Stegostoma tigrinum: one gene and its partners. The protein of the gene in region 2 interacts with the protein of the main gene of each other region in a pairwise test. Links are inferred from orthologs where the notes say so. Each region holds a gene or a part of one and is shown on either strand. Other genes may lie near its edges.

Evidence for each region.
Region 1: the proteins of golga2 (region 2) and pkp4 interact in binary tests that used the Homo sapiens proteins (3 or more experiments, as listed by UniProt). The two-hybrid records come from large-scale screens. The link is inferred for Stegostoma tigrinum from reciprocal best matches to the Homo sapiens genes GOLGA2 and PKP4.
Region 3: the proteins of golga2 (region 2) and ubiquitin carboxyl-terminal hydrolase 2-like interact in binary tests that used the Homo sapiens proteins (3 or more experiments, as listed by UniProt). The two-hybrid records come from large-scale screens. The link is inferred for Stegostoma tigrinum from reciprocal best matches to the Homo sapiens genes GOLGA2 and USP2.
Region 4: the proteins of golga2 (region 2) and cullin-5 interact in binary tests that used the Homo sapiens proteins (3 or more experiments, as listed by UniProt). The two-hybrid records come from large-scale screens. The link is inferred for Stegostoma tigrinum from reciprocal best matches to the Homo sapiens genes GOLGA2 and CUL5.

The regions. Positions count from the first base shown.
Region 1 is NC_081360.1:58,118,575-58,125,973, forward strand, and holds the start of pkp4 (plakophilin-4), read left to right. Parts: upstream 1-4,349; 5' UTR 4,350-4,536; exon of another isoform or gene 4,537-4,556; intron 4,557-4,592; exon of another isoform or gene 4,593-4,890; intron 4,891-7,399. UniProt on the Homo sapiens protein: Plays a role as a regulator of Rho activity during cytokinesis. May play a role in junctional plaques.
Region 2 is NC_081382.1:36,886,378-36,893,339, reverse strand, and holds the start of golga2 (golgin subfamily A member 2), read right to left. Parts: upstream 3,018-6,962; 5' UTR 2,951-3,017; coding exon 2,903-2,950; intron 1-2,902. UniProt on the Homo sapiens protein: Peripheral membrane component of the cis-Golgi stack that acts as a membrane skeleton that maintains the structure of the Golgi apparatus, and as a vesicle thether that facilitates vesicle fusion to the Golgi membrane.
Region 3 is NC_081385.1:1,061,740-1,069,327, reverse strand, and holds the start of ubiquitin carboxyl-terminal hydrolase 2-like, read right to left. Parts: upstream 3,014-7,588; 5' UTR 3,006-3,013; coding exon 2,945-3,005; intron 1-2,944. UniProt on the Homo sapiens protein: Hydrolase that deubiquitinates polyubiquitinated target proteins such as MDM2, MDM4 and CCND1. Isoform 1 and isoform 4 possess both ubiquitin-specific peptidase and isopeptidase activities.
Region 4 is NC_081359.1:70,260,649-70,268,386, reverse strand, and holds the start of cullin-5, read right to left. Parts: upstream 3,018-7,738; 5' UTR 2,955-3,017; intron 1-2,954. Other genes in the region: ras-related protein Rab-39A-like, read right to left, coding at 3,099-3,525. UniProt on the Homo sapiens protein: Core component of multiple cullin-5-RING E3 ubiquitin-protein ligase complexes (ECS complexes, also named CRL5 complexes), which mediate the ubiquitination and subsequent proteasomal degradation of target proteins.

The DNA of each region.
Region 1 (7,399 bases), on a different chromosome or scaffold from region 2:
TTAAATTCCTGTCTGAGGTATCAAATAGTTCTTGGTCTTGTGCTCTATCTCTCAACCTTCTGGATCAAATCCCTATTCTTGGAAGAAAAATTCCTGGGGAAGTAGTCACTTCTAGCACCTTTTAACAAGAATAAAGTTTGTCTATTTCTGGCTCTGACAGAATTATAATAATACTACCAGTCATGTTCAGTTGGTGTTTGGTTTCATGCTTGTTATCTGGCTTCTGAGTGAGTTAATACCTGAATTGGCAGGAAATGTGAAAGCAATGATGCCAATGAAAATAGTTGGGTTTGAATAGTGATGTAGAAAATGTTGAATTTCCAGTTTAGTTCATTGGCATGTAGTATATTTTTAATCCATAGCTTTTGGGGTTTTTTGCATAAAAGGTCAGCTAGCTGGACCTCTGAGCTCCTTGACTGGACCAGATTAACAGCCCCAATCAAGGAACTTGCTGACATAAGCTTGTTTAGGTATTAGTTTGTTTTTGATTCCTGACCTATGATGCAGTGCTATAGAGTGACTTAGAAAAAGTCACTAAGTCCTCATTTTATTGACTGACTGGATATTCCTATCCAGAGTTACAGGGGTCTTTGCTATAAACATGTTCTGGCAACACTAATTGGCTATAAGCTGTTTGACAAATAGGGAAACGCATTTTAAACGTGAACTTGTGTTGGCTGTGATTCCATACAGTAGGCAGCTTGCTGTCAGGAGCCCTTTGTACTAGTTCACTGTAGGTATTGTTAACAATGTTGTGGTTGAGTCGGAAATTCGGTCAGCTTTTTTCAATAATTGAAACAGACCTGCTGGCTTCTTTTATTAGTTTAAAAATTAGGGTGTAGGGAAAATGGAAGAACAATATTCTTTCCTTTGAAGGGAAACACTGAAGAACAGGAGCTGGGCACAAGAGGCTGCTCCAGCAGACTATGTAAGTAAGCAGCCAGATCATGGTGGGCTTGTATTTCAACTTGTTTGTTTTTTGCACCCTTGCGCCATAGCCCTCCATACACACGGTGTGAATGGCTGAAGGAGTCGAATTTGCTATGGCAACATACGTGTATATATCGCAGTCTGGAACTTTGAATCTCCGAACCTATACTCTGCTTCTGGCAGGAAGGATTTGCAGATCTCACCTTGAGTGCGCCTTGCCGGGCCATTGAGTTCTGAGGCAGGACTTGAACTTTGACCTTCTTGCTTACAAAAGCTTATACCTGTAACAATCTCGATTTTCACAAAGAGCTTGACAGCCACTTAAGTGTATATAAGTGCAGTCATTGTAGAAAATACAACAGCATTCACGCATAACTCTCTCTCCCAAGCAACGTCTGATGAGAGGACAATCCATAATTGTTGCTGACTATCGGATAAGCATTGACTAGGACACCCGGGTAACTGTCCTGCACTCTTTGGAAATAGTGAGGACAGATATGCAATCAGAAAAGGATCTGCCAAACAGCTGTCACAGTCGGACCAACCTGTTTGAACAGCTGCCGAACGTAGTGCTATCCTTTGAGCCACGCTTTTGGTGGTCTGCCCCTAACTCCGCTTTTCTCATTGGCCCAGTTATTTTCCACAGCGTGATTTTTCTGCAGCGTAACTATCGCGTCATAGCGGAACCGCCTGTATTTTGGTTTGAGTGCGTCAAACTATATGAATTTACAGCATGACCCCGAACCTGAAGGTTTTGATGACGATCTTTCAATCTTCCCTGGATAATGACAGTAGTCGTGTCAAAATAAATATGGGAAAAGCCTTAAACCCAACAAAGTCAGCAGCATCCTTGTAACTCCCTCAAGTTTCACAACACCATCTTTCCTATAGCAGAGAAACCAGAATTGAACATAGTATTCAAAGTGGCCTAACCGATTTCCTGTATAGCTGCAACGTGACCGTTCCCAACTCCATACACAATGCACTGACCCATAAAAGGCAAGCATATCAAATATCTTCTCTATCCTGTCTACCTGTGACTCCACCTTCAAGAACTATGAATCAGCACTCCCAGTCTCTCTGTTCAACTGTTCAGCAACACTCCCCAGGACCTTAGCCAGTGTGTAAGCCCTGCCCCGAATTGCGTTTTCAAAATGCAGCATCTCGCATTTAGCTAAATTTAGAAATCCAGCTGCTGCTCCTCTGCCCATCTGATCAAGATCCCATTGTACTCTGACATAACCTTCTTTGCTGTCCACTACACAGTTTTGGCATCATCTGCCAACCTAAACATACCGACTCTGCTCACATCCAAATCGTTTATATAAATGATGAAAAGCAGTGGACTCTACAAAGATTCTTGTGCCTTGTGGCATGCCACTGGTCACAGGCCTCCAGTCCGAAAAGCAAACTTCTACCACCACCCTCTGTCTTCTACCTTTGAGCCAGTCCTAATCCAATGGGCTAGTTCTCCCTGTATTTCCTATGATCTAAATTTGTTAACTAGCCTACCATGAGGAGCATTGAATGCCTTACTGAAGCCCATATAGATCACATCCACTGCCTTCATCAATCCTCTTCGTTACTACTTCAAAAAAACTGTTGTTAGTGACAATTTCCCATGCACAAAACCATGTGGACTAACCCTAATCTATCCTTGCCTTTCCAAATACATAAGTCCTGTCCCTCAGGATTCCCTCCAACAACTTTACCACCATTGCTGAACCTCCACTCTGCTAGCACCTCTCCTGTGGCTAACAATGATACAAATATCTCCACAAGGGACCCAGCAATCACTTCCCTACCTTCCCACTGGGTTCTAAGATAAACCTGATCAAGTTCCAGGGATTTTTGCACCTTTATGTTAACACTACTTGTGGGCTTCAAGTGCTGGTTAACAATCTAGATGCAAGATATTGTGAAGTGACCAGCTATCTAGCAATTAGTTAATCTCTTCATGAGAAGAAAATGGTGGATGTTTACATGAGGAATGCACGGGGTGAATTTTCTAGCAGACTTGTACTTAGCTCTGTTTAAAGAAAAACTGGAAATACTCATTAGGCAGCACCTGTGGTGACAAACAAAGCTAAGATCTTGGGTTGATGATATTTTCTGACTTTGAAATATTAGTGAAAACAGATGTTAAGCAAGTACAAAATTGATAGATGGAACAAGGAAGGGATTGGAGAGACTAAATAACAAATGGAACGGTTCCACAAAGCAAAAGAAAGTGACTGGGCAAGTAAGGGAATAAAAAATCTTGGAGCATAAATAGGACTAGTAGAATCATCACTAATGCTATGATTTGAAAATAGGGGACAGATTACAACCCAGAATTAAATACCATATTGGATACTTAATCTTTGGGACTCAACCTGAAAGTGATGTGCAGTTTGTAAGTTTTGATCATACTTCAGTCCAACAGTGGATGAAGTTAAGGACAAAGACGAGTTGGCATTGTCTCAGAATTAGTTGATTTTAAAGTACAATTGAGGTATCCACCAGAATGTTGCTGTGGGAATTTTGGTTTTGGTTTGTTTTGAATGCTGAAAAGGGAGGGAATAGAAAGATGCTTGGATAACCTAATGCTGAAAGAGGTGGTAATGGTAGATGTTCAATTAAATATGTAGGTTGTGGAAGGGGAAAAGAACAAGAAGAAACTAATCTCCCCGGGGGGCGGGGGAAGAGAGAGAGAGCGAGAACAAATCTAGGAAATGGATCGGTCACTACCCTTTTCGAGATAATGAGAACTGCAGATGCTGGAGAATCCAAGATAACAAAGTGTGGAGCTGGATGAACACAGCAGGCCAAGCAGCACCTCAGCTACCTTTTTCGAGCATCTTTATTAGGTCAATCTACGAGGACTAGTAATTAGGCTGAATGTTTGTTTGGCATAACATTTAATCATTGGGATTTATGAGAAATTTCTCAATGTATACTTAAGAAGCCACTTATTTATCAATCACCATATCTTGCAATGAAATTGTCAATAGTAAAACGCCGGTTTATCTTGGCTTCAATATTTATTTTGGTTTCACAATGCTAACGTGCATCATCCGCAAAAACATTCCGGAACGAAAAAAAAATCGGTTTACTCGCAAAATAATTTACCATTACTTCCTCCTTTTTATTGCCTAAATTGGTGACAATTTGACTCACATCACAAAAGTCCTGGCAGCTGTGATCACATCTCGGACTGATAGATGGCTCATCCCAGAGGCGAATTCCAGTGCTGGGGAAGCCAGGTGAGCTCGCTGCAGTGGAGGAAGCCGCACTCACCTTGCCATCTTTCTCACTCAGCCGCGGATTGTTGACAGGCGACGCCGCGATGGCAACCAAGTACACCTTTCCCAATTGGCTGATTTCGCAGGGGCAGCACCCAATGGAGGCGAGGGTAGCTGGTAGGCTGACCAATGCGGCCAAGCCGTGCCCGAGAGCAGGGCGGTGACGCGGGGTCGATCGTTTCCAGCTTCTCCCCACCCCGTCCCTGGAGAGGGGAGGAGTGAGAGTGAGAGTGAGAGGTTGAGGTTGCTGGAAAGGGGCGTCTGTCCCCTTCCAGTCTTTTCTGGTGCTTCCTTTCGAAGTGTGGCCCGGTCAGCCAGAGTAGTAAGTGTTTCGGTATAAGTGAGGAATATATCTCTGTCTGTGTGTGTGTGTGTGTGTGTGTGGGAGCGAGCGAGCGAGCGAGCGCGAATGAACTGGGAGGTTTGGCTCACCAGTCACAGACAGGTGTTCGCACACCCGTGGGCCAGAGGAAGGTGAGAAACGTTTCGTGGGTGGCTAGGATCCCAGAGCTGGCGTGATTTTAATCGCCTCCAACTCCTGCCACCCTTCTCCTGTTCGTGTCTCAATGTTCAACGACCGGGGACGGAACGATTTACATGACCATTTGGTTCCTATTGTTCTTGATGAAAACCGAGGCGAGAACACTCCCGAAATGATTCATTTCAACTGAAAATGGTGAGGTGGTGTTCCGCGATTGCGGACTGTTTCACTTGAATGAGTCCTTCCCGCAGTGAAGGTGTGGCGGCAATAAAATGAAATTTTCCATTGAGGTATAACTGTATTTTGATTTCGTGTCCTTTTTCGGCTACGTGTTTTCTTGCCTGCCCCTTGTTTAGTTTTTTTTCAGTGCGGTCATAATGGAATATGGCCACTGTTTAGAGAACAATCGAAGGGGGTTTGAGCGCTTATTTTGCATCATTATTAGGAAAAAAAATACGCCTTTGCGCCACTGTGCTGCATTGGCTGTACTGGTCTGTCGAGAATACGATCCTTGATTGTTAATGGTGATAAACCAGTCCCTGTGCGGTAACTGGGCGTTACTAAATCTGTGTGTGACTGTGGTTTCTGTTTAACTTTCTACCGGTCAGTAGACGTGTGTTAATATCGAATATTCTTAGTTGCTCCAATTTTAAGTAATTCTGTCCGAGACATTAGCAATCTAAAGCGAAACAGTCAACTGCACATGTATATCCATTCTATCCTTTGATTTTGTTATTGAGACATTTTGTAAGCGTGATACAAATTGGGTAACTTTAAAGGAAAGTCGTATTTCCAGACAGTTTGAGTTTTCACTTAAACGGCATCTCTGCTAATTTTTTCTTTCTTTCTTGTGCTTGTTTAAAAGCTATTAAAATTACTTTGTACAACAACAATATTTTTCTATAGGGAATTTTACGTAAGTCACCTTTTTAGTAGACAGGTTCCTTGTTCAGAGATAACAAGGTGTGGAGCTGGATGAACACAGCAGGCCAAGTGGCATCTTAGGAGCAGGAAAGCTGACGTTTCGGGCCTCGAACCTTCATCAGAAAAGCTCCCTTGTTCAGACAGCATGCTGTGTTTCTCAATTTAACTTATTTGCTTTCTTTGCACGTATACTGCATTTATGAATAATGTACTCTGATTTTTCTGCTATGAGCTAAAGTTGTTTGGACCACCTGTAATTTTTTTTTGCCCCAAATGAAAACAAATCAAATCTTGCATTCTCTTGCAGGGATAGAAGAGATAAAACAGGGAATGCAAGATGCAGGGTCTTTTGTTAGATTTCCAGATGTGGCATTTGTAGGGAGAGCACCAATAAAACCTGTTGCCTCTGCAATCTAACTTGCAGTTGAACCAAAAATGATGGCGTCAGATTACAGTGTTGAGCAGAAAAAAGATATTTGCACATACCTTGTTTTTTGTATGCTTCAACTTTTATGAATATTAGTGTAGTGAACAGTGAAGAAGTCTGTGAAAAGAACAAAACCTTGATTAGTTGGGCTGAGGAATGGCAAATAGAATTTAACTCTTCATAAGTGGAAACTGTTGCATTTTGGAAGGCACACCAGGGCAGAATTTAATTGTCGTGTTCTGCGCTCTCTTGCTGAACAAAAACCTTGAGGTGCAGGTTCATATTTTCTTGAAAGTGGAGTTCCATGTACACAGGCTAATGAAGAAAGCATTTGATATGCTTGCCTGTATTGGTCTGTGCATTGAGTATGAGAGTTGCAATGTCATATGGATCTGGATGTGTACGTGAATAGAACGGGTTTGGTGGGATCTGGGCCAAGTGCTGGCAAATAGTACTGATTTAATTTAGGATATCTAGTTGGCATGGATAAGTTTGACCAATGGTCTGTTTCAGTGCTGTACAACTCTAGACTCTCTAACTGCAAATAATCATCTTTAAATAAGTAATTTTATACAATTTAAGTCATGTTTATTGTGACCCAACTGGTTATACTAGTAGCTATGGTGCCTGTGTGCCATCTCACTGCATTAGTGACTACTTCCTATCATTCTGAAGTATTGACAAGAACAGGAGGGGCTACTTAGCCCCATGAGTCAGTTCTCATTCAGCAGGTGTTTGTATCTTGCTGATGTACTTGTACTTGTATCAAGTATTAACCATTCCACATGGCAGCTGTGTCTAAACACATCACCTTGTTACCTCAATGTAGATGGCGTAGAGCTAGATGAACACAGCAGGCCGAGCAGGAAAGCTGACGTTTCGTGTCCAGACCTGAAACGTCAGCTTTCCTGCTCCTCTGCTGCTTGACCTGCTGTGTTCATCTAGCTCTAAAACCTATCTCAGATTCTCCAGCACAGGTAGTTCTTGCTGTTTCTCTTGCCAACTGTATTGTGCTATCTTTTCAACTAATTTCAGTATGCCCAGAATAAAAAGAATACAGTATAAAAACAGGATAGAAACAACTTTCAACACTGTCGTCTCAAATGTCTGCTCTTTCTAAAGGATACAGGAAGGTTGATTAAACATGACTGCTTCATTTTTCAGCTTCCATGCTGGTAATTATTTATCAATTCTTTTGTTATTTCATCCTCTGGGGAAGATTTTGTCTGCCTGAATACTGAAGCTAATTGGCTTGTAGTTTTCTGCATTAGTTTTAGGGATGCTTTGTTTCTATAGTGCTTGTCACAGGTATTTTGAGTTGTAACTACAGTTTTATGCTCTTACTATCTGCCA
Region 2 (6,962 bases):
TGAATAATTACAATTGAGAATTTCAATTCCAGGGCATTTGATACAAAGTACCAAGACTTTACCACCTTGATACTCACTTCCACACTACTTCTGGCAAGCTGATAACTTTTGATAAATTGAACTTCTGAATCGTAAAAGGAGGGAGCAGCACTTTGACCAATTATGTGATTAACTGACAAATCCAAAACATGACCAACTTCCAAAATAACCCATTAAGATCTGCAACACGGAAAGAAATAAGTGTCCTGACATGTCTGCGCCAGCTATCATGAAAACAGATTATTTCAATATCATTTTTGTCATCCAATCCATCAAGAGTTCATAACGTTCCAGTCAATACAGCTACTATTGTAGTGACCTGATTTAAAGCCAGAAGATAAAAGAAATGAATTAAAGAACAGATGTGCCAGAAGTTCAAGGAATCAGAGAATTTTTTGGCAAAAGTTGCTGAATTTCCTATTAGCAACTTAAATAGATACCAAAAGTACTGTTCCGATCACACGTACAAAAGCAAGAGGGAACCAGCCCTAACTGAGATACTCCTGCTGACAAAAATGCAGTAGCTCACAGAAAAAAACCCTTTCAATATGAAATCAACACTTGCACAGCACCCATCATATCCTCAAAGCCTTCAATCAACAGATAATGAGACGTCAGTCATCATCATATCTCCATTTGTGGGAGCTTGCTGTATGTAAAACTGCGTGCCATATTTCAAAAATGTTTCAGCGGCTGTAAAGCCATTTGGGGCACTGAGATAATGAAATATGCTATACAAATGCAAACCTTAGGGAATCTGAAGGTGGTTTTCCTTATTATTATTTTATACGCGAAATTTACAGCCAACAATCTGACACAATAAAGAAGATAAGAAGCAATGCATTTCCTTTTAGAGAACGTCAGTTGTTTATTTAATATTGCATACAACTAATCCATACCTCGGTCGGTTGCACATGCCAGATGTGCAAACAACTCATGCAATGTCCAAAATCAATCCATGTAGTTAACTGTTTGTGTTGTATGAAATATACGTGACCATGTAATGTTGGCATAGATTGGTAACAGCTAGTTAAGAACACAGTTACTCCTTGGCTTTAATTAAAACCAACAGCTTATTTGTCAAGAGCATTAGGAATATTCCCACTACCTGTCTGCATAGCAGGACTAACTTGAATGGTTATACAGTTAAAACAGGGAGGACACCTCCATCAAGAGAGCTGGACGAGTCAGTCAATTTAATCATCAACAGCAGCCAGAAAGTAAGGCACATTTGCTGGCTGAGAGTTAATGCCAAAGAAAATGAACTTCAAAGATTCCCCTTATCATGGGGGGTAATCTTTGAGCCAATTTGATCCACAGAGGCCTACTCCTCCCAGGAGGACAATCACTGGGATATCTGTAAACAATTGAGCAGAGGTTTTTCATCAAGTTTGGAGCATCATTCTTGCATCTGTACTAAAAGTGGTGACTTATGCAAAAGGAAATTTGGGGAAGTGTATGGAGTGGTCAGGAGAGTGGGGCATATGATAGACTCCGCTCAGACAGACATTACACACATATTAGGGTTAAGCAAGTAGGATTTCTCCCCAACCAGTCTGGCATAGTACCTTGGGGTGATAAGGCAGGCTGGGATGTCAGTCAGGCTAGCAGTGTGCAGGAAAGAGAGTTGGTAACGGGCTACAATTCCACCTCTCTTTACCCCTTTCACACGCAGACTTGTACCTTGTGGGCCTGACGGTGCAAGGATAGGGTAGGGATCATCCCCAGTAGCTGACATTGTGTCCAGGGTGGGGGACAGGGTAGAGATTATCTCCGACAGGTTAGGATTGTGCCCAGGGTCAAAGACAGAATAGAGATCACCCTCACAGACTGACACTGTGGTCAGAGCAGGATTCTTTCTCGACTCCCTACCACAAAACCTCCCAGGCGGGCACTGCACGCTAGGGTGGAGGTAGGTTAAGGGGGGGGGGGGGGGGGGGGGAGGGAAGGAGAGAAGAGAGGAGAAGTAGAATTCTCCCACATCCCTGTGCTGATGCCAAGCCCCAGAGGCATGGGAACAAGGTAGTGGTGGACACAGTAGGATTCTTTATTCTCGTCCACCTTTAACACTGTGCCTAGAGAATTTGGGAGAGGGTGGTGGTGGAGAACAAGTTAAGCCACAGCGAGTAAATTCTCCCCCCAAACTGGCACTGCAGCTCAGGGATGGGTGGACAGAGTACTAGGAGAAGGGAGAAGAACAGGGTATGTGGGAGAGGGATGGGGGTGAGCCAGGGCTAGGAATAGTAGGGGTGCGAGAAGGGGGAAATAAGAGAAGTGGCGAGCCGGAGGGTGGTGGGGGGGGGGGGGTGGGGGAGAGAAAGAATAGGAGAAGTGGCGAGCCGGGGGGGGGGGGGGAAGGGGGGAAGAATAGGAGAAGTGTGGAGCCGGAGGGGGGGAATAAATAGGAGAAGTGGGGAGCCGGACGGGGGGGGGGGGGGGGGTGCGAGAAGGATGTGGATGGGGAGCCGGAGGGGAGAAGGATGTGGATGGGGAGCCGGAGGGGAGAAGGATGTGGAGCGAACCGGGAGTGCAGGGTTGCGGTGGGAGAAGGGGTCGCGGGGAACGGGGTTGTTCTCCCCGCCCCACCCCACCCCCGCCTGACACCGCGATACCACCTCCCGGGGGGACCGGAGAAAGCGGCGGCCGCAGCCCCTGGCCCCAGAGTCACTTGCTAACCCTCCCTTCGGGGCGCATAGGCCGTGGGGGCCCCGAACTCGCACCGAACCGTCTCCCCCAGCGGACAGGCGGTAGATCAGCCGGTCACCCCGAGAGGGGAAAAGGAAAACAGTTCCGACAGTCGATCACGGAGCTTTGGCTTCTTCCCCCTTAGCCTCCGCAGTCTGCCGCTCACCCTGTCCCTCACCTTCTTCTTGGCAGACGCCAGCTTAGCCCGTCTGCTCCCGTCGGCCATGGTATCCGGGCCCGCACACGTCACCAAGCAGCTAGCGGACTCCTCCAGTATCCCGGCCTGCACCAGGCCCCGACAGCCGAGGGGCGGGGCTTCGGCGACACGTACCGACGATCTTTGTGACGCGACAACGCAACGAGTGGGCTGGTTTTGTGACATCATCGCAACGGCGACAAAGTGCCATGGCAACCTAGAAACAATGTCGAGCTCTGTGTCATCAATCACACTCAAATAAACAAACTCGGGGGCATCAATCAATCAGTCAGTAATAAAGTAATTAATAAACTCCGGGGATCAATTGCAGTCAGTAATAAAGTAATTAACAAACTCCGGGGATCAATTGCAGTCAGTAATAAAGTAATTAACAAACTAAGACTCTGGGGCATCCATCTCATTTACTAATAAACTCATGACTCAAGTAGAATTGCTGGAGAAACTCAGCAGGTCTGGCAGTATCTGTGGAGAGAGAGCAGAATGAATGTTTCCAGTCCAGTGACAAGCAGAGTTTCTCCAGTCATTTCTGTTTTTCTTTCTGATTTCCAGCAACCGATGTAGCCAAATGGTCACTCGACCTGAAATGTTCATTCTGCTCTCTCTCCACAGATGCTGCTTGAGCTGCTGAGCTTTCCCAGCAATTTCTGTTTTTGTCTCTGATTTACAACATCTGAAGTTCCTTAGGTTTTTATTCTGAAGAAGGGTCACTAGACCCGAAATGTTAATTCAATGTTATCTCCACAGAAGCTGCCAGACCTGCTGAGTTTCTCCAGCATTTCTACTTCTATGATGTGTTTACTGGTAAATGAGATGGATGCGCCAGAGTCTGAGTTTATTACTGACTGCAATTGATCCCCGGAGTATATTAATTACTTTATTACTGACAGATTGATTGATGCAAACGAGTTTGTTTATTTCTGAGTGTGATTGATGACACATAGCTCGACATTGTTTGCAGGTAGCCATGGCGCTTTGTCGCAGTTGTGAATCTTCTGATGTTTCACATTTTTAATCAAAATTGCCAGTTTACCAGCTCCAGCCACCTCTTCTTCAACATGGCCTGGTAATCCTTTACACATTTCTGAAAAAGGGTCAAAAATAGAAATTGCTGGGAAAGCTCAGCCAATCAGGCAGCATTGTGGAGAAAGATCAGAATGAACATTTCAGGTCAAGTGATCGTTTGGCTTTGTTGGTTGCTGGAAATCAGAAAGAAAAACAGAAAAAAAACTGGAGAAACTCTGCCTGTCACTGGAGAAGGGTCACTGGACCTGAAACATTAATTCTGCTCTCTCTCCACAAATGCTGCCAGAGCTGCTGAGCTTTCCCAGCAATTTCTATTTTTGACCCTTTTTCAGAAATGTGTAAAGGATTACTAGGCCATGTTGAAGAGGAGGTGGCTGGAGCTGGTAATCTGGAAATTCTGATTAAAAATGTAAAACATCAGAAGATTCACAGGTATAAATAAGAAGGGAGTTGACAAGGGGAGGAAAAAAAATTGTTTTCAGACAGGAAGAAATGAGTCCCATGGAACTGGAGCAGGCAAAAATAATGTGTTTGCCTGTGCAGTCTTGTGTGTGAATTTTGGGATGGAGGTAGAAGTAGGCTGTGTGAAGTTGGAGATTAATGAGTTTGGAGGCAGTGGAATGGAATTGTCGGATCAAATTAGAATAGTCATAGAGATATACCACACGGAAACAGACCCTTCAGTCCAAAGCGCCCATGCTGACCAGATATACTAAATTAATCTCGTCCCATTTGCCAACATTTGTCCCAGGCCGCTCAAAACCCTTCTTATTCCTATACCCATCCGGATGTCTTTTAAATGTTGTTATTGTATGAGTATACACCACTTCCTCTGGCAGCTCATCCCACACACACACACCACTCTCTATGTGGAAAAGTTGGCCTTTCGTCCCTTTCAAATCTTTTCACTCTCAGCTTAAACCTACGCCCCTGTAGTTTTGGACTCCCCCATTCTGGGGAAAAGACCTTAGCTATTCACCCTATCCATGCCCCTTGTGATTTTATAAACCTCTATAAGGTCACCCCTCAGCCTCCGACCCTCCAGGGAAAATAGCTCCAGCCTATTCAGCCTCTCCCTACAGCTCAAACTCTCCCACCCTGGCAACATCCTCGTCAATGTTTACTGAACCCTTTCCAGTTTCACAACACCCTTGCTGTAGGAGGGAGACCAGAATTGCAGGCAATATTCCAGAAGTGGCTGAATCAATGTCCTGTACAGCCACAACACGACCTCCCAACTCCTATACTCAATGCATGGGCCAAAATAGGCAAGCATACCAAATGCCTTCTTCACTATCTTGTCTATCTGCCACTCTGTTTTCAAGGAACTACGAACCTGCACTCCAAGGTCTCTTTGTTCAGCAGCACTCCCCAGGATATTACCATTCAGTGTATAAGTCCAGCCCTGATTTGCTTTTCCAAAATACAACACCTCACATTGATCTAAATTGAACTTCATCTACCACTCTTTGACCCATTGGCCCATCAGGTCAAGATCCTTCTGTACTCAATGATAACCTTCTTGATGATGGTGGACATAACGGCCTGATGTTCCACGGTAGGGTCATGGTCCAGGGGAGACAGGACGAGATGTTTGAGAGCTGGCACTCAACCTCTGCAATGTAGAGATCAGTATGCCAGTCAACAGAAACATCCGCCTTGTCAGCAGGCTTGATTCCCAAGTCAGGTTTGGATCTGGGAACACAGCGTATGGTCAGTTTAGAGGGTATCACATTGATAGTTCTTGAGAAACAGGTCAAGTTCCGGTAAAAGGACAGAGGGGTGGGAAAAGTTCTGAAGAAGGGTCACTGGACCTGATACATTAACTCTGCTTTCTCTCTACAGATGCTGCCATGTTGAGTTTCTCCAGCAACATCTGTTTTTCTTTCTGACTTCCAGCATCCAACAAAATCAAAGACCACTCCGACCCTGGTTATGCTCTCTTCTACCCTCTTCTATCAGGCAAAAGATATATACATTTGGATATACATATGAACAGATTGAAGAACAGCTTCTTCCCCACTGGTTTTAGACATTTGGTAGATCTCTAATGTTAATGTTGATTTCTCTCTGCATTTCTCAGCTACAGTAACTCCATTTACCTGCCTTGGTCTGTCCCGTAATACCCCTTCGAACAAAAACCCTTTACTCCTGGTTCAAATGTATTATTTGGGCTACTTGGTACAAACTGTTATTGTCAGAGTGTGTTCTACACACGTACAACCCTTTGCATGAAGGCCTGTTTTCAAACTTCACTCCTGAATGGCCTGGCTCTGACCTTCACATTCTGTCCCTCTATCCTGGACCTGTTATTTTCTCTACCACCCTATCCCAAATTATCGAGCTCAAACGGAAACAGCTTCATGGTAAGACCAGTGTAAGGATAGAATGAGGATAACTCGTAAATTCATAAACTCATAAATGTTCACGTTTCCATGAATAATTTCAAACTAACAAAATTCTAGATTTGATGTAATGGTTAAAGGCATAGGATTGCTCCCAACTAATTCAAAACCCATTGCATCACTGAGCAGCAAGATTCATAAGGATGTGTTTACCTGTAGGTCTGGCAATGTCAAGGTAACATTACAAAGCCTAAATGATTTAATCACAAGCGTAGGTCACTAGTACCTCAAACTTTCATATCACTCTTATTTTTAGCTGAGATATCAATTAAGTAATATTAGCAAACTAGAGGTCTACAGCACAGAAAAAGGCCCTTTAGCCCATCAAGTCTGTGCCAGTCAAAAACAACCTCCTAACTATTCGAGAGATAGTAAGAACTGTTGATGCTGGAGTCAGAGATAACACGGTGTGGAGCTGCGTGAATACAGCAGGCCGGGCAGCATCGGAGGAACAGGAAAGTTGACATTTTGGGTCAGGACCTTAACTATTCTAATCCCATTTTCAAACATTTTTCCCATAGTTTTGCAAGCCTTGGCATCGCAGATGCACATGTAAATATTTCCTCAGTGTTATGAGTGTTTCTGCTTCAACT
Region 3 (7,588 bases), on a different chromosome or scaffold from region 2:
GAAATCTAATATGTAGGTTGAATGTATTGTTAATTCTGAACTATGAACAGAAACTTCTTGCCTAAGCTGTTAATCACTCTGCCTGGGCCTCGTTTCCAGTAAAATCAGACCAGTGACCTGACTGGCCCTCAGCGGACACTGTAATGTCACTGTCTCCACACAGCAAAACTGTTACTGAAATGCTTGTTTGCGCTCACACTTCAATCTTCTGGGGTCAACTAGCCTGACCAGCATTCGAGCCTCCACCCAAAGTAACATGTACATTCCTATAGCACCTTTCACAATCTCAAAAGTGTGACAATAACGCAATAATCAAAGTAAATATTTACATCATCACTATTGACAAATGAGTGGGAGTTACCACAGTCTTACCAGCCCATAGAGCTGATACAGTGTGGAGCTGAAGGAACACATTAGGTCAGGGAGTACAAGAGGAGCAGGAGAGTTGATGCTTCAGGCCTTCATCAGGGTCTAGACTTGAAATATTGACTCTTTTGCTCCTCTGATGCTGCCTGGCCTGCTGTGTTCCTCCAGCTCCATGTTATCACTGACTCCAGCATTGTCTGTTCTTCCATTGGGCTGCTCTCTCCTTAGAGAGAGACAACTGGGGGTGGTTTAACTTGAGGGTCAGATATCTCATGTGAGGGGGGAGGTTGAGAGGAGACTCCTTTGTGGTAACCTCAGCCAGGGTGGGAGTTGAGGGTCAGCGCTGAAGGATCTCTTTGGAGGGAGCTGAACTCAAACGGTGGGCATCACTCTACTTCACAAACCAACCACCCAGCCAGCTGAGTATAGTTAGAGCCACTGAAGCTGTTCTTCAAAATAACAGACTTGGGTTCTTTTTACATATATCTGCCAGGCAGGATCCAGCAGGTGTTTATCCGAAAGAGAACACCTCCCTCAGCACTGAGCTGTGACAGGGACGGACTCCCTCAGCACGCACCCTCCAAGGTTAGGGGGAAGAGGATCCCTCAGCACTGACCTTCCAAGGGGGAGGGCATCCCTCAGCGATAACCCTCTGACGTGGGGGGAGAGGATCCCTCAGTGCTGACCCTCCAGGGGAGGGGTTCCCTCAGCACAGATCTTCTGGGGGGCGGGGGAGGTGATCCCTCGGTGTTGACCTTCTGAGGGTGGAGGGAATCATTCAGCGCTGACCTTCCCGGGGCGGGGGGGGGTGCGAGGGGATCCCTCAGTGCTGACCCTCCAAGGGGGGGACGGGATCCCTCAACTTTGACCCTCTGAAGGGGGAGGGGCTCACTCAGCGCTGACCTTCCAGGGAGGGGGGGGATTCCTCATTGCTGACCCTCCAAGGAGGGAGGAGAGCCCTCAGCGCTGACCTTTTGAGGGGAGGGGCGGGGATCCCTCAGTGCTGACCCTCCAAGGGGGGAGGGGCTGATCCCTCAGCACTAACCCTCCAAGGGGAGGGGAGGTTATCCCTCAGTGCTGATCCTACAAAGGAGGGGAGGGGATCCCTCAGCACTGACCATCCGAGGGGGGAGGGGATCACTCAGCGCTGACCCTCCGGGGGGGGGGGAGGGGATCCCTCAGGACTGACCTTCCGATGGGATAGGGGATCCCTCAGTGCTGACCCTCCAAGGAGGGGAGAGGGGATCCCTGACTGCTGACCCTCCAAGGGGGGTGGGAGGGGATCCCTCAGTGCTGACCCTCCACGGGATGGAGGGGGTGAATCCCTCAACACTGACTCTCCAAGGTGGGGGGGGGGGGCGGGTGGGGGTGGTGGCGGGGAGGAGGAGCTGCTTTTGAAATACAGGCCTGATGGATGTGCTCCATTCAGTAGAATGTTTTCAGCATTCAATTGGATAATGGCTTTACTTGAGCCTGAAGAGGAGTAAGGGAAGAATTAGAATTAAGTTTTATTGTCATTGTACTCAAGTACAGGGGCCAGTAAAAAGTTTACAAAGTTGTCATTCTGCTCTAGAGGAAGGATATGGTGGACAGGTCTGTTCACCAAAAATGTTTACGGGTAAGAATGTGGAGATTACAGAACGGATTTCCAAGTGATTACCAAATGGGACATGTTTACAGGCTGTTCTCCAGTAGCTCCCTGTGTGAGAGACTCTCAGGCAGATTCTGCCACCTCGTGTTAGATTAATGTATTGACACAGTCTCCCAAACTCCAAATTTACAAAACCTGTCCCTGTACTGTAGCCTGCCTGTAGATTGTACACTCACCCTGCCTGCTCTACATCAGCATCAGCCCTCACTCAGGATTGTGCAGGAGAGGGAAAAACCATTGAAGGTGAGGCGATTCACCAACTTTGAAAAATTTGCTGAGGAGGAAGATTCAGATTTTGTTGTGGGAATGTATTTAATTTACTCCAACACCTTCCTTCATCTTCAAACACAGAACACCACAGCGCCACTTGATGGTGATTCAATATGGATTCAGGCCACAAGCACATTGTCTCCTGCGCTGCTTCTAGAATAGGAAGATGGCTCAAAACCTCTGTAAAAGAATGGGTGGTCCAGGAAAGAGAATATCACACTGGAACCATCAGGTGGTTTCAACTTGTGTTGGGACAGAGTAGAGGAAGCTTTACTCTGCATCTAATACCATGCTGTCCCTGTTCTGGGAGTGTTTAACGGGGACAGTGTAGAGGAAGCTTTACTCCGTATCTAATCCTGTGTTATCCCTGTTTAATGAGGACAGTGTGTAGGGATGTTTACTGTGTATCTAACCCCATGCTGTCCCTGTGCTACGAGTGTTTAAATCTATTCCATGCGGCATTGACAGCTTCACAATGTGTGCAAAACAAATTCAACAAGGCAATGCAAGGCAATACAAGGCAATGCAAGGCAATACAAGGCAATACAAGAAACAGATCTTCTAAGACAGAACTCTGCAGAAATATGTGGCAGATGAGTGTAAGCACATCAAGAGGCGAGGGTACCTGTAGGAAAACAAATAGAATGAAAAACCTACTTCCATTTTTCACTATTCTTGTCTCAATTTCAGGCCATTTGCTTGGTATTCCCCACATCATTGAGCAGCTTCCTTTCCTCACTATGGCAACTGCTTTGATTACAGCTATCCCACACCACACTGCGAAACAACCCAACACAGAGATCTGGCAGGAAGAGGGAAGCTTGAGTTCACAAGCAAGTCTAGGCTTGCTCCTAATAGGGCATTGACAAAAACACACTGACACAGAGACAGTGACAGACTGATACAAAGAAACACACAGAAGCAAAGACAGAGAAACTCATACAGAAACAGAGAAAAAGACAGACAGACACACACACACAGGGTTTCACATAGATACAGAAACACAGGCACAAAGTCAGGGCGTCACACACAGGCACAAAGACAGGGCGTCACATAGATAAACACACACACACAGGCACAAAGACAGGGCGTCACTCACACACACACCCACACACACAGGGCGTCACATAGATAAACACACACACACACACACACACACACACACACACACACACACACACACACAGGCACAAAGACAGGGCGTCACTCACACACACACACACACACACACACACAGGCACAAAGACAGGACGTCACACACACACACACACACACACACACACACAGGCACAAAGACAGGGTGTCACTCACACACACACCCACACACACAGGCACAAAGACAGGGCGTCACATAGATAAACACACACACACACACACACACACACACACACACACACACACACGCACACACACACACAAACACATAGATACAGAAACTCAGACATAAAGACACAGACACACATGCGCGCACACACAGAAACACACAGACTTGAACAAAGAGGTTTGAGGGTAGACAGTGAAAAGTTGCTGGGCATGTTCAAAATTTGTTGTTATTTATTTGTGGGACATTGGCTTCACTGGCCAGGCCAGCATTTATTGCCCAGTTGCCCTCAAGAAGGTGGTCATGTGCTGCCTCCTTGAACCACTGCCATCCATTTGGAGTAGGTGCACCCACAAAGTGCTTCGGGAGGGAATTCCAGCATTTTGATCAGGTGTCAGTGAAGGAACAGCGACATATTTTCCCAAGGCAGGATGGTGAGTGGTTTGAAGGGGAACTTGCAGATGATGGTGTTCCATGTAGTGGCTGCCCTTGACATTCTAAATGGAAGTGGTTGTGAGTTTGGAAGATAATGTCTAAGAATCTCTGATGAATTTCTGAAGAGCATCTTGTAAAAAGTACACACTGCTGCGACTGAACATTGGTGGAGGAGGGAGTGGATGCTTGTGGATGTGGTGCCAATCAAGTGTGTTGTTTTGTCCTGGAACGTGTCAAGCTTCTTGAGTGTTGTTGAAGCTGCACCCATCCAGGCAAGTGGGGAGTATTCCATCCCACTCCTGACTTGTGCCTTGTAGATGGTGGATAGGCTTTGAGGAGGCAGGAGATGAGTTACTCACTGCAGTATTCCCAGCTTCTGACCTGGTCTTGTGTTTATGTGGAAGTAGAATTTCTGGTTAGTGGTAACCCCTGGGATGTTGATAGTGTAAAACTCAGTAATGGTAACAATATTGAACGGTAAGGGCCAGTGATTAGGCTGTTGCCTGCTGGGGATGGTTATAGCTTGGCATTTGTGTGGCCGAGGAACTCCAGCAGAGATGTCCTGGGGCATTTGTGTGGCCGAGGAACTCCGGCAGAGATGTCCTGGGGCATTTGTGTGGCCGAGGAACTCCGGCAGAGATGTCCTGGGGCATTTGTGTGGCCGAGGAACTCCGGCAGAGATGTCCTGGGGCATTTGTGTGGCCGAGGAACTCCGGCAGAGATGTCCTGGGGCATTTGTGTGGCCGAGGAACTCCGGCAGAGATGTCCTGGGGCATTTGTGTGGCCGAGGAACTCCGGCAGAGATGTCCTGGGGCATTTGTGTGGCCGAGGAGCTCCGGCAGAGATGTTCTGGGGCATTTGTGTGGCCGAGGAACTCCGGCAGAGATGTCCTGGGGCATTTGTGTGGCCGAGGAACTCCGGCAGAGATGTCCTGGGGCATTTGTGTGGCCGAGGAACTCCGGCAGAGATGTCCTGGGGCATTTGTGTGGCCGAGGAACTCCGGCAGAGATGTCCTGGGGCATTTGTGTGGCCGAGGAACTCCGGCAGAGATGTCCTGGGGCTGAGATGACTGACCTCCAACAATCACGACCATCTTCCTCTGTGTCAGGTATGACCCCAACTACTGGAGCATTTGCCCCCTGATAGACATTGATTCTGGTTTTGCTACGGCCCCTTGATGCCGCACTTGGTCAAATACAGCCTTGATATCAAGGGTTGTCACTCTCACCTCACTCTGGAATGCAGCTGTTCTGTCCATGTTTGAACCAAGGCTGTAATGGGGTCAGGAGCTGAGTGGCCCTGGTGGAACTCTGATTTTTTCTCCACAGATGATGTCAGACCTGCTGAGCCTATCCGGCAACTTCCATTTTTGCCTCTGATGACAGTAATTGGTAATTGGCCGGGTTGGATTTGTCCTGCTTTTTATCTCCAGGACATACATCGCCAATTTTCCACATTGTCGAGTAGATCCCAGTGTTGTAACTATACTGGAACAGCTTGGCTAGGGGAGTGGCAAGTTCTGGAGCACAAGTCTTCAGTACTATTGCTGAGACGTTGTCAGGGCCCGTAGCCTTTGCAGTATCCAGTGTCTCCAACTGTTTCTTGACATCACGTGGAGTGAATGGAATTGGCTGAAGACTGGTATCTGTGAAGCTGGGGACCACTGGAGGAGGCTAAGATGGATCATCCACTCGGCACTTCTGGCTGAAGATTGCTGCGAATGCTTCAGCTTTATCTTTTGCACTGATGCGCTGGGCTCTTCCATCATTGAGGATGGGGATGTTTGTGGAGCCCCCTCCTTCAGTGAGTTGTTTAATCATCCTCTACTACTCGCCACCGGATGTGGCAGGACTGCAGAGCTTAGATCTGATCCATCAGTTGTGGGATTGATTAGCCCTGTCTATCACTTGCTGCTTTCACTGTTTGGTGTGCAAGTAATCCTTGTTTGTTGGCTTCACCAGATTGATGCCTCATCTTCAAGTAAGCCTGGTGCTGCTGCTGGCATGCCCTCCTGCACTCTCCATTGAACCAGAGTTGATGGTAATGGTTGAGTAGGGAATGTGCCAGGCCATGAGGTTACAGATTGTGCTGGAGTACAGTTCAGCTGCTGTTGATGGCCCACGGTGCCTCATGGATGCCCAGAATGAGCTGCTACATCTGTGTGAAGTCTGTCCCATTTAGCACAGTGATAGTGCCACGCAATACGCTGGAGGTCGTTCTCCTTGTGAAGGCAGGACTTGGTCTCCACAGGGACTGTGCGATGGTCACTCTTGTGAGGGACTTGGTAACCCAGTGAGGGTCAGCACTTTCAGGAGGGGAGGGGGAGCCCATAGCCCAGTGAGGGTTGTGCTTTTCCCTGGCAAGGGCAAACACTAAATCCAACAATTGAGTCTGATATTGAATCACAGCCACTTGAGTTCTTTCAGATCTCATAGCTCAACTGTTTCAAAGCCCCCATGGCATCTCTGTCTCTCTCACCTGAGAGCTTTAACTGTGTACATATTCATGATATTGTTGCACTTCACCTGTTTGCCTGAAGTCCTGTTACAGTTAATGAGTTTTCTTCAAAAATATTCCCATGAAGCACTTTGTTGGTTCTCAAGGTCATAGTTAGCCCGATCGAACAGTGCAGGTCAAATGCTCAACCAGAAGTCAGTGCTAGCTTTACAACAACAACTTGCATTTAAATGCTACCAAACACATTCAGAGAACAAACTGCTCAACAGGTGGCAGAAGATGGCATTAAAGTAAGATGAACAGGGGTTTTAAGGTGGGCCATGATATCGAGAGGTGGATTGTGTTACAGAAGCAGGAGCATCGAGCAAGAAGGAAGCTATAGAGGCAACAGGCTGGGAGCTGTGAAATCAGAACAAGCAAAGAGATTCGTGAGTCATACCAAGATGGTGGCTGTAACCAAAGACAGTCAAAGTTGGACAGTCACAATGAACGACACTGTAAGGCTGTTGTCTGAAAGATAGGCCTGGGAAGCTGAAGGGGCAGGTGCTAAGAGGAAAGTGATTAATACTTAGGGTGAAAATTGGACTGGAGTTAGACGATCCTAGGTTTCCTGGGTGAAGGAGATTTCAAAGAAAGGGGGCTATACAATGATTACAAATCAGAACAAGAATGGAAACGTTTTACATTTGTGGAAATTGTCTTGTATTTCAGCAGCCAGTGGAACAGCTTCTTTAATTCCATGACAACCTGAAATAGGTCAGCAATCTCCCGAACAAAGTGAAACTGAATCCTAGCTGCTGCCCTGCACCATGGGATGATATTCAGCACCACAGGACAGCTGGGGCTATGTGGAGCCCAGCAATGTAAAATTGGCATTTCCTGCTTTAAAATAAAACCCAGAAATCTCTTCCTTTCAAGAAGCAACATTGCTCATCAGGTTATTAAATCCAGTATTGGAATTTCTCCAACAATTCTCAGGTGCACTTAACGTGATGGCTTTCGAATATGCAAAATGAGTCTTCACCTAAACACAGAGCGCTGCACTGTCGGAGGGTCACTGTTGAGGGAGTGGGCACTGACGGAGGGTC
Region 4 (7,738 bases), on a different chromosome or scaffold from region 2:
TTGGGGATAAAGAAATAACATCAGATTATACCACATTACAAAATTACATATTTTAGAGAACAAGGCAAATTTATTGGTGTTCATAAACTATCATATAATGGATTTAAGGTCTCATTTCAATACAACAATTCACATTCATTTAATAATGATTGTTATATTGTTTTCTTCTGGCTGACTAATATAATAATAAGAAAGTGGTCATAATTGCTCTCACTTTCAAACATTCACTGAATTAGATTGATATTCCAAATTGCTTTCATGATTGACCTAAGTAATATCTGAATTGATTTATTTTTCAACATATCATCATGATTTGGGGAGGAGAGATTTTTTGATACATTAATTCCTAACTTAGCCATAGAAACCTGTTTTCATTTGAAAAAATAAAAATTAAAAATACTTTCAGTCAGCTAATTGCAAACGAATGAAATGTTTGTTTTTGCAAACAGCAATGATGAATAAAGACAAGTTCCATCATGTTGCATCGTGGGCAAATAACATACTCAATTCTCAGTGACTGGCTTTCGGTTCTTGTCTGAAAATGTGGTGTTGAGGGAATGGAGATATTACATGAAAGATGTTTAGTGCATTAAGCTTTGATTTTTATTTTTTCAAATGAAAACAGATTTCCATGGCTAAGTTTGGAATTCATATATCAAAAAATCTCTCCCACCCAAAATCATGATATGTTGAAAAATAAATCAATTCAGATATTATTTAGGTCAATCATGAAAGCAATTTGAAATTGTCAAGATAGGAAACTCAATCCAATTCAGTAAATGCTTGAAAGTGAACTGCAATTATGACCACTTTCTTATTTTTATATTAAATCAGCCAGCAGAAAACAAACAAAAAAAATCAGAAGTCATGTTACACTAGCTACTTTGGTCAATTTCTGTTTAAAAATTGCTGCAGCTAGAGATATGAGGAATTGATGCACAACGGCTTGAAACCGCAGCAATAAAAACAAGAACTGCAATTAGAAGCTAGTTGTCTCTATTGTAACCAGTTGGCTGAGAAGTTCAGACTTATCACCTCCTAATGCTTACAGGTGGATAAGAGGCGAGTTAGGTACGTTTGCAACAGACTAAAAAGAGAACGATTTCAATGTCTGTGACACACAAAATAGTGTATCCCTGCCTCCCTAATCTGTCCTTCCCCCCTCCACCTATCCTCTCCTCCCACCTCAAGCCCCACCTCCATCATCTACCAACTAGCCTCATCCTGCCCCCTTGATCTGTCTGTCCTCCCAGGACTGACCTATCCCCTCCCTAGCTCCCCACCTACACTCACCTTTACTGGCTCCAACCCCACCTCTTTGACTTGTCTGTCTCCTCTCCACCTATCTTCTCCCCTACCCATCTTTTATCTGCCTCCCCCTCTCTCACTATTTATTTCAGAATCCCCTTCCCCTCCCCATTTCTGAAGAAGGGTCTAGGCCTGAAAGGTCAGCTTTCTTGATCCTCTGATGCTGCTTGGCCTGCTGTGTTCATCCAGCTCTACACCTTGTTATCTCAATTATTATTGAACTCGCTCAACATGTTCAGCTATAATGATCCAAACAAATAATGAAACAATATATGATCCTACATTGTAACCAGTACCTTATGATATTTAATATGCAGGTAAATTAACATTTTTATGTCATGTATGTTTTATAGTCCACAGACCATTAAAATGGATTCACTTAAGCAAATAACTGGATTTAAAGGACTTCCTAATTTACACATTCGATTGCAAATTAACATTACATTTCAGAATTGAAGGGAGGACTGGTATGCTCATGGTTTGTAGCCAATTGAGCACATTGCATACATTACGTAGCCATAACAGAGTCCTGTTTAAATGATATCTATGTTGTATGTTGTGCTAAAACTAGCACCAGTAAGTGCAAGGAAAACAGCAAAATGCATACAGTGATTGGTTGACTTACAAGAATGAGAATTTCAGTACTTCCTGTTGGAGAATTAAAAGCTTTTTAATGTTAAAACTTCCAAATTTGTCTGTTATTAGCAATATTCAAGTGTTTTTGTAAGTCACAACTGTAGCAATACTATGTTTGCCCCTTTGATTACACATTCGCCATTCTCATCTCCAGTCCACAGTGCAAATATAGGAAGGATCTAGTTCAATGACCACAATAGCCTTGCCATTTTCCAAAATAAAAAGGCAGCTTTTTGTAACTGTAAACCGTAACATTGAAAGCTACAAGCAAAACAGCAACATGCCATGCCACAGAACATGTTTACTATTTATTAGCTTCCACATGAGCCAACCACTAAACAGAAGAAAGTATAGTGCAGGGCTTTGGCTAACATCTTTGTGCATATAATCAGCCTATAATGATAAATATTCAGGAAATGCACTCCACTGTTGCAGAAATGTAGACATTAGCACAGTGATTGCTCGTGGCAGTTCAACTTTTTGGAGCTTATTAACAGCAAATGTCTGTTCTCATTCATTGCAGAATATTTTCACATCTTTCTTCACTGTTTTATCTGCTGTATTCGTTTTCCACAGCCACTTCGCTAAACATGTAAGGACTTAAGAAAAATATTAATCTCTCATGTGAATTAATTAAAACCTATTGAATTAAATAACTGCATAAGACAAACAAAACACCACTTCTAAAACATTTAGTAATTTAAAGCCAAGAATATTTCTTACATCTCCAGAAATCACTCACATATTTCTGAGTTTGATTAAACCTTATTTAAAGCATTATTTCGGGCAAATGGTTCATATCAAATATACATGTTAATTTAACCTTTAGTTATACACATCAGTTTCTCTGACAGATTGCCAGTCTTACAGTAAGGCAACAAGTCCCAAAAATAAAACTTGATTTTACTGTGCAAAAAATACACTCTTACTATTAAAGTCTGCAGTTATTGATAAAATAAAATTTGTGCATTTCATGTCAGAGAAGCTCTGTAGCCAAGTTGGGTACTTACTTTCCAATGAAATATATTCTAATCAAATCTATGCCAAGTCTAGGGTAAGCCCTAGAAGATTTGTTGGCATATCCAGATAGGCTTGCAGGGATGGCTAAAAAGTACAATAAGCAACTCTTTGGAATAAAGGGTTCTTTCCCGTGATTAGCAAAAGCATCTTCTTCCAGGCAGCACAGCTTCCTCAGAAGAATGAACAACATTAGGAACCACACCACTCTTAACACCTTCCCACCCTTCCTGGATGGATATGTTGCCTTTTTTCAGTAGCTCGTATATCTCTCGGGTCAGAACGGTGAAAGATTCCTCCACGTTCATCGAATCTTTTGCAGATGTCTCGATGTATTTCATACCAGATACAGCTGCAAGTTTCTCTGCCTCTTCCTTTGAAACTTTCCTTTGGGTCGCCAAGTCGCTTTTGTGTCCAACAAGCAGGAATATGATTCGATACGGCTGGACGTGCATTTTTGCTTCTTCCAACCAGTCACGCACGTGTTCGAAAGATCTACGATTTGTGATATCAAACACAAGCAACCCACCAACTGAATTACGGTAGTAGGAACGGGTTATGGACCTGGGATTGGAAAAAAAAGAGGAGTCAAAAAACAATTTTTCTGTTGAAAATCAGTGATCAATTACTTTAAAATTATTTTAGTGACAACAATTTACTTCTCATTGTCAACTCAAAGCTACATGGTAAACCCCTCAAAACAAAACTCCATTAGCTAATGCTAAAAGTCCCTTATAAAAATAGTGCAAACACTCCACTGTCTAGAGTTAGTTTTGATCTCAATCAGAAATCTTTGATGCAGTTCTCTGTGGTTTCTGACAGCTGCCTTTCACCCAAGTGCTACAGATAACTGGAAGAACTCTCATAAGAATTCACTTCAATTATGTTCAGCACCATCCAAATCATGAATGCACACAGAAACGTAGAAAACAGGAGGAGAAAGCCATTTAACCCTCTGGCCATTCAAGGTAATCGTGACTGAACATTCAACTTCATGTTCTATTCTTGCTCTCTCCCCTCACCTTTTGAGGTAGTAAGGACTGCCGATGCTGGAGTCAGAGATAACACAGTATGGAGCTGGAGGAACACAGCAGGCCAGGCAGCATTGGAGGAGCAGGAAAGCTGACATTTCGGGTCGGGACCCTTCTTCAGAAACATCAGCTTTCCTTCTCCTCTGATGCTGGCTGACCTGCTGTGTTCCTCCAGCTTCACACTGTGCTATCCCCTCATACCTTAAGCCCGAAAAACTATGTTTAACTCCATCTTAAAAACATTCATTCACGTTTGCATCAGGCACAAATCTTGGTCTGGCTGACTTTTAGAAGGTGGGGACATTCGTGGAAGGTGTGGGGGTGAGGCAAGGAGATGGAGGAGAATTAAATTCAGTCATAGTCCTTTCTCCTGCCTTTTATCTCATAACATTGGCAGTAAGGTGCACCTGGAACTTTAGAGGAGTAAAGAATCAGATTTCGTTTGTATATCCTCCCTTGTAATGATAACACACCTGGGCAGTAGATCTTTTTCCTCTTCTCTTTGCAAGGAGGAAGTTAGGTTTAATGTTGACTTAGCCATCCGGGTGGGGAACTCAGACACTCCAGTTTCCAAACAAAATATTGCACCTCATGTTGTCAGCTCAGAAAACCTGCCCATATCATCAACATCAGGCTCTTTGCCTTCAAGAATTGATGGCCAGGTCGAACTATGCCCTCACGGATAGCATCAGTTAGGTTGTTCAGACAATTCTATCTCTTCATTGTGTTTATTACTTCATCAATTAACACTGGGCCTGCAGCTTCAGAATGTGGTATGTTCAGTCAGTAGGTTTATGAGTCAGCCACTGCAGCTGACGTGCGGTGCACTAAAGATCCCAAACCCCCTCCGAATCTGATATTGTTTTCATGAGTTTCCTCCAAGTTACATGCAATATGCAGGTGCACTGAAGAAACAAGATGATTATCAGTCGAAGGTTTTGTCCATGTCAGGTGACCTTAAGCCTGGAGACTTAAAAGTTGCTTGACACAGTTAAGTGCTCCAAGGGCTGCTCCCACACAAATAGGCACCATTGTGTCCTCACATTTGGCAGGTCGATCCTGCCACAAAAGGGAGAAGATCAGCTCACAGATGGGTTATGGAGGAGCCTGGAGCGTAATAGACATCTTTCTGACAGAGAGATGCTAGTCTGGTCTATTGGCCACAATAATCTTGAGCAGTCTCCAAGATGTTGGTGAGGGGGATTGGGCTATTTGGTTGAAAAGCACACAGCATTCATCACTATTTGAGTGATTGTTTAACTCCTACAATGAAAACTTTCTGCTGCAATAATCAGCTCATATTGAGTGGCTCAATTGCTCTGACAGGTTAACTTCCTACAGAAAGAAGAACACAGTAATGCCTAGCTTAAAACTATGGTATCTTACTTATAAACCTCACTAACTTATAAAGCCAGAGTTTTAAAGGTCAAGTCAAAAGTAAAAGAAAAGGAATACACGACACACTTAAAAAGTTGGAATAATTTGGGCGGTAAGTTTGTCAAGGTAACATTAAGCAAGTCCCTTATGTAAATTTAAATATCATAAAATTGCTGTTGAACCAAACTAAAAATATTTATTTTCAATACAAGATACAAAAATACAGCACTCCCCTGAGAATATCACATCCTGCTCAACAGCTGGAAGAACTGAAAACATTAAAATGTCTTGCACAGGTTAATTTGTTCAAAATACATCCCTAAGTTCATTTGATCAGTAAAGTATTTTTATAACTGACTTTAACAAACTCAGTAATAATTTCAACTTAATTTCTATTGAAGTAGATCGTCGGGAAGTTAGTTGCTTGAAGGCTATTATTGTTTAAAGCAACTGTTGCACATATTTTGGAATAATGCACTCAAAACAAGTACACAGGCTTTTTATTATGCTGTTAACCACTTCCTGCTGGAAATGTTTAAGAACACTTTTAGATTAATTGTAGAGGTAAATAGAGAAATTTTATTATTTCTAATCGACACATAGGTGAACATTACAGTATCTACATTCAAATAAGTTCCCTTAATCATGCACCATGATACAAAGATTCACATGAGACCAACACCTCAGTGTATAGTCAACTAAGATTAATAGAACATAGAACATTATAGCACAGTACAGGCCCTTCAGCCCTCAATGTTGTGCCGACCTGTCATACTGATCTCAAGCCCATCTAACCTACACTATTCCATGTACGTCCATATGCTTATCCAATGACGACTTTAATGTATCTAAAGTTGGCGAATTCACATACTGTTGCAGGCAAAACATTCCATTCCCTTACTACTCTGAGTAAAGAAACTACCTCTGACATCTGTCCTATATCTTTCACCCCTCAATTTCAAGCTATGCCCCCTCGTACTCGCCATCACCATCCTAGGAAAAAGGCTCTCTCTAATCACCCTATCTAACCCCCTGATTATTTTATATGTTTCAATTAAGTCACCTCTCAACCTTCTTCTCTCTAATGAAAACAGCCTCAAGTCCCTCAGCCTTTCCTCATAAGGCCTTCCCTCCATACCAGGCAACATCCTAGTAAATCTCCTCTGCACCCTTTCCAAAGCTTTCACATCCTTCTTATAATGCGGTGACCAGAACTGTACACAATACTCCAAGTGTGGCTGCACCAGAGTTTTGTACAGCTTCACCATAACCTCTTGGGTCCGGAACTCAATCCCTCTATTAATAAAAGCTAAAACACTGTATGCCTTCTCAACAGCCCTGTCAACCTGGGTGGCAACTTTCAAGGATCTGTGTACATGGACACCGAGATCTCTCTGCTCATCTACACTACTAAGAATCTTACCATTAGCCCTGTACTTTGCCTTCCGGTTACTCCTACCAAAGTGCATTACCTCACACTTGTCTGCATTAAACTCCATTTGCCACCTCTCAGCCCAGCTCTGCAGCTTATCTATGTCTCTCTGCAACCTACAGCATCCTTCGTCACTGTCCACAACTCCACCACTCCACCGACCTTAGTGTCGTCTGCAAATTTACTAACCCATCCTTCTACGCCCTCATCCAGGTCATTTATAAAAATGACAAACAGCAGTGGACCCAACACCGACCCTTGCGGAACACCAATAGTAACCGGTTTCCAGGATGAACATTTCCCATCAACTACCACCCTCTGTCTTCTTTCAGCAAGCCAATTTCCGATACAAACTGCTATATCTCCCACAATTCCATTCCTCCGCATTTTGTACAATAGCCTATTGTGGGGAACCTTATCAAACACCTTGCTGAAATCCATATACACCACATCAACCGGTTTACTCTTATCTACCTGTTTGGTCACCTTCTCAAAGAACTCAATAAGGTTTGTGAGGCACGACCTTCCCTTCACAAAACCGTGCTGACTATCCCTTATAACCTTTTCCAACACTTTATAGACCAGTGAGCCTTACCTCAGTTGTTGGTAATTACCAGGGTTGTCTCTACTCTCCTTCTTGAACAGGGGAACTACATTTGCTATCCTCCAGTCATCTGGCACTATTCCTGTAGACAATGACGAGTTAAAGATCAACGCCAAAGGCTCGGCAATTTCCTCCCTGGCTTCCCAGAGGATCCGGGGATAAATCCCATCCGGCCCAGGGGACTTATCTATCTTCACCCTCTGAAGAATTTCTAATACCTCTCCCCTGTGAACCTCAATCCCACCTAGTCTAGTAGCCTGTATCTCAGTATTCTCCTCCACAACATTGTCATTTTCTAGAGTGAATACTGTTGAAAAATATTCATTTAGCGCT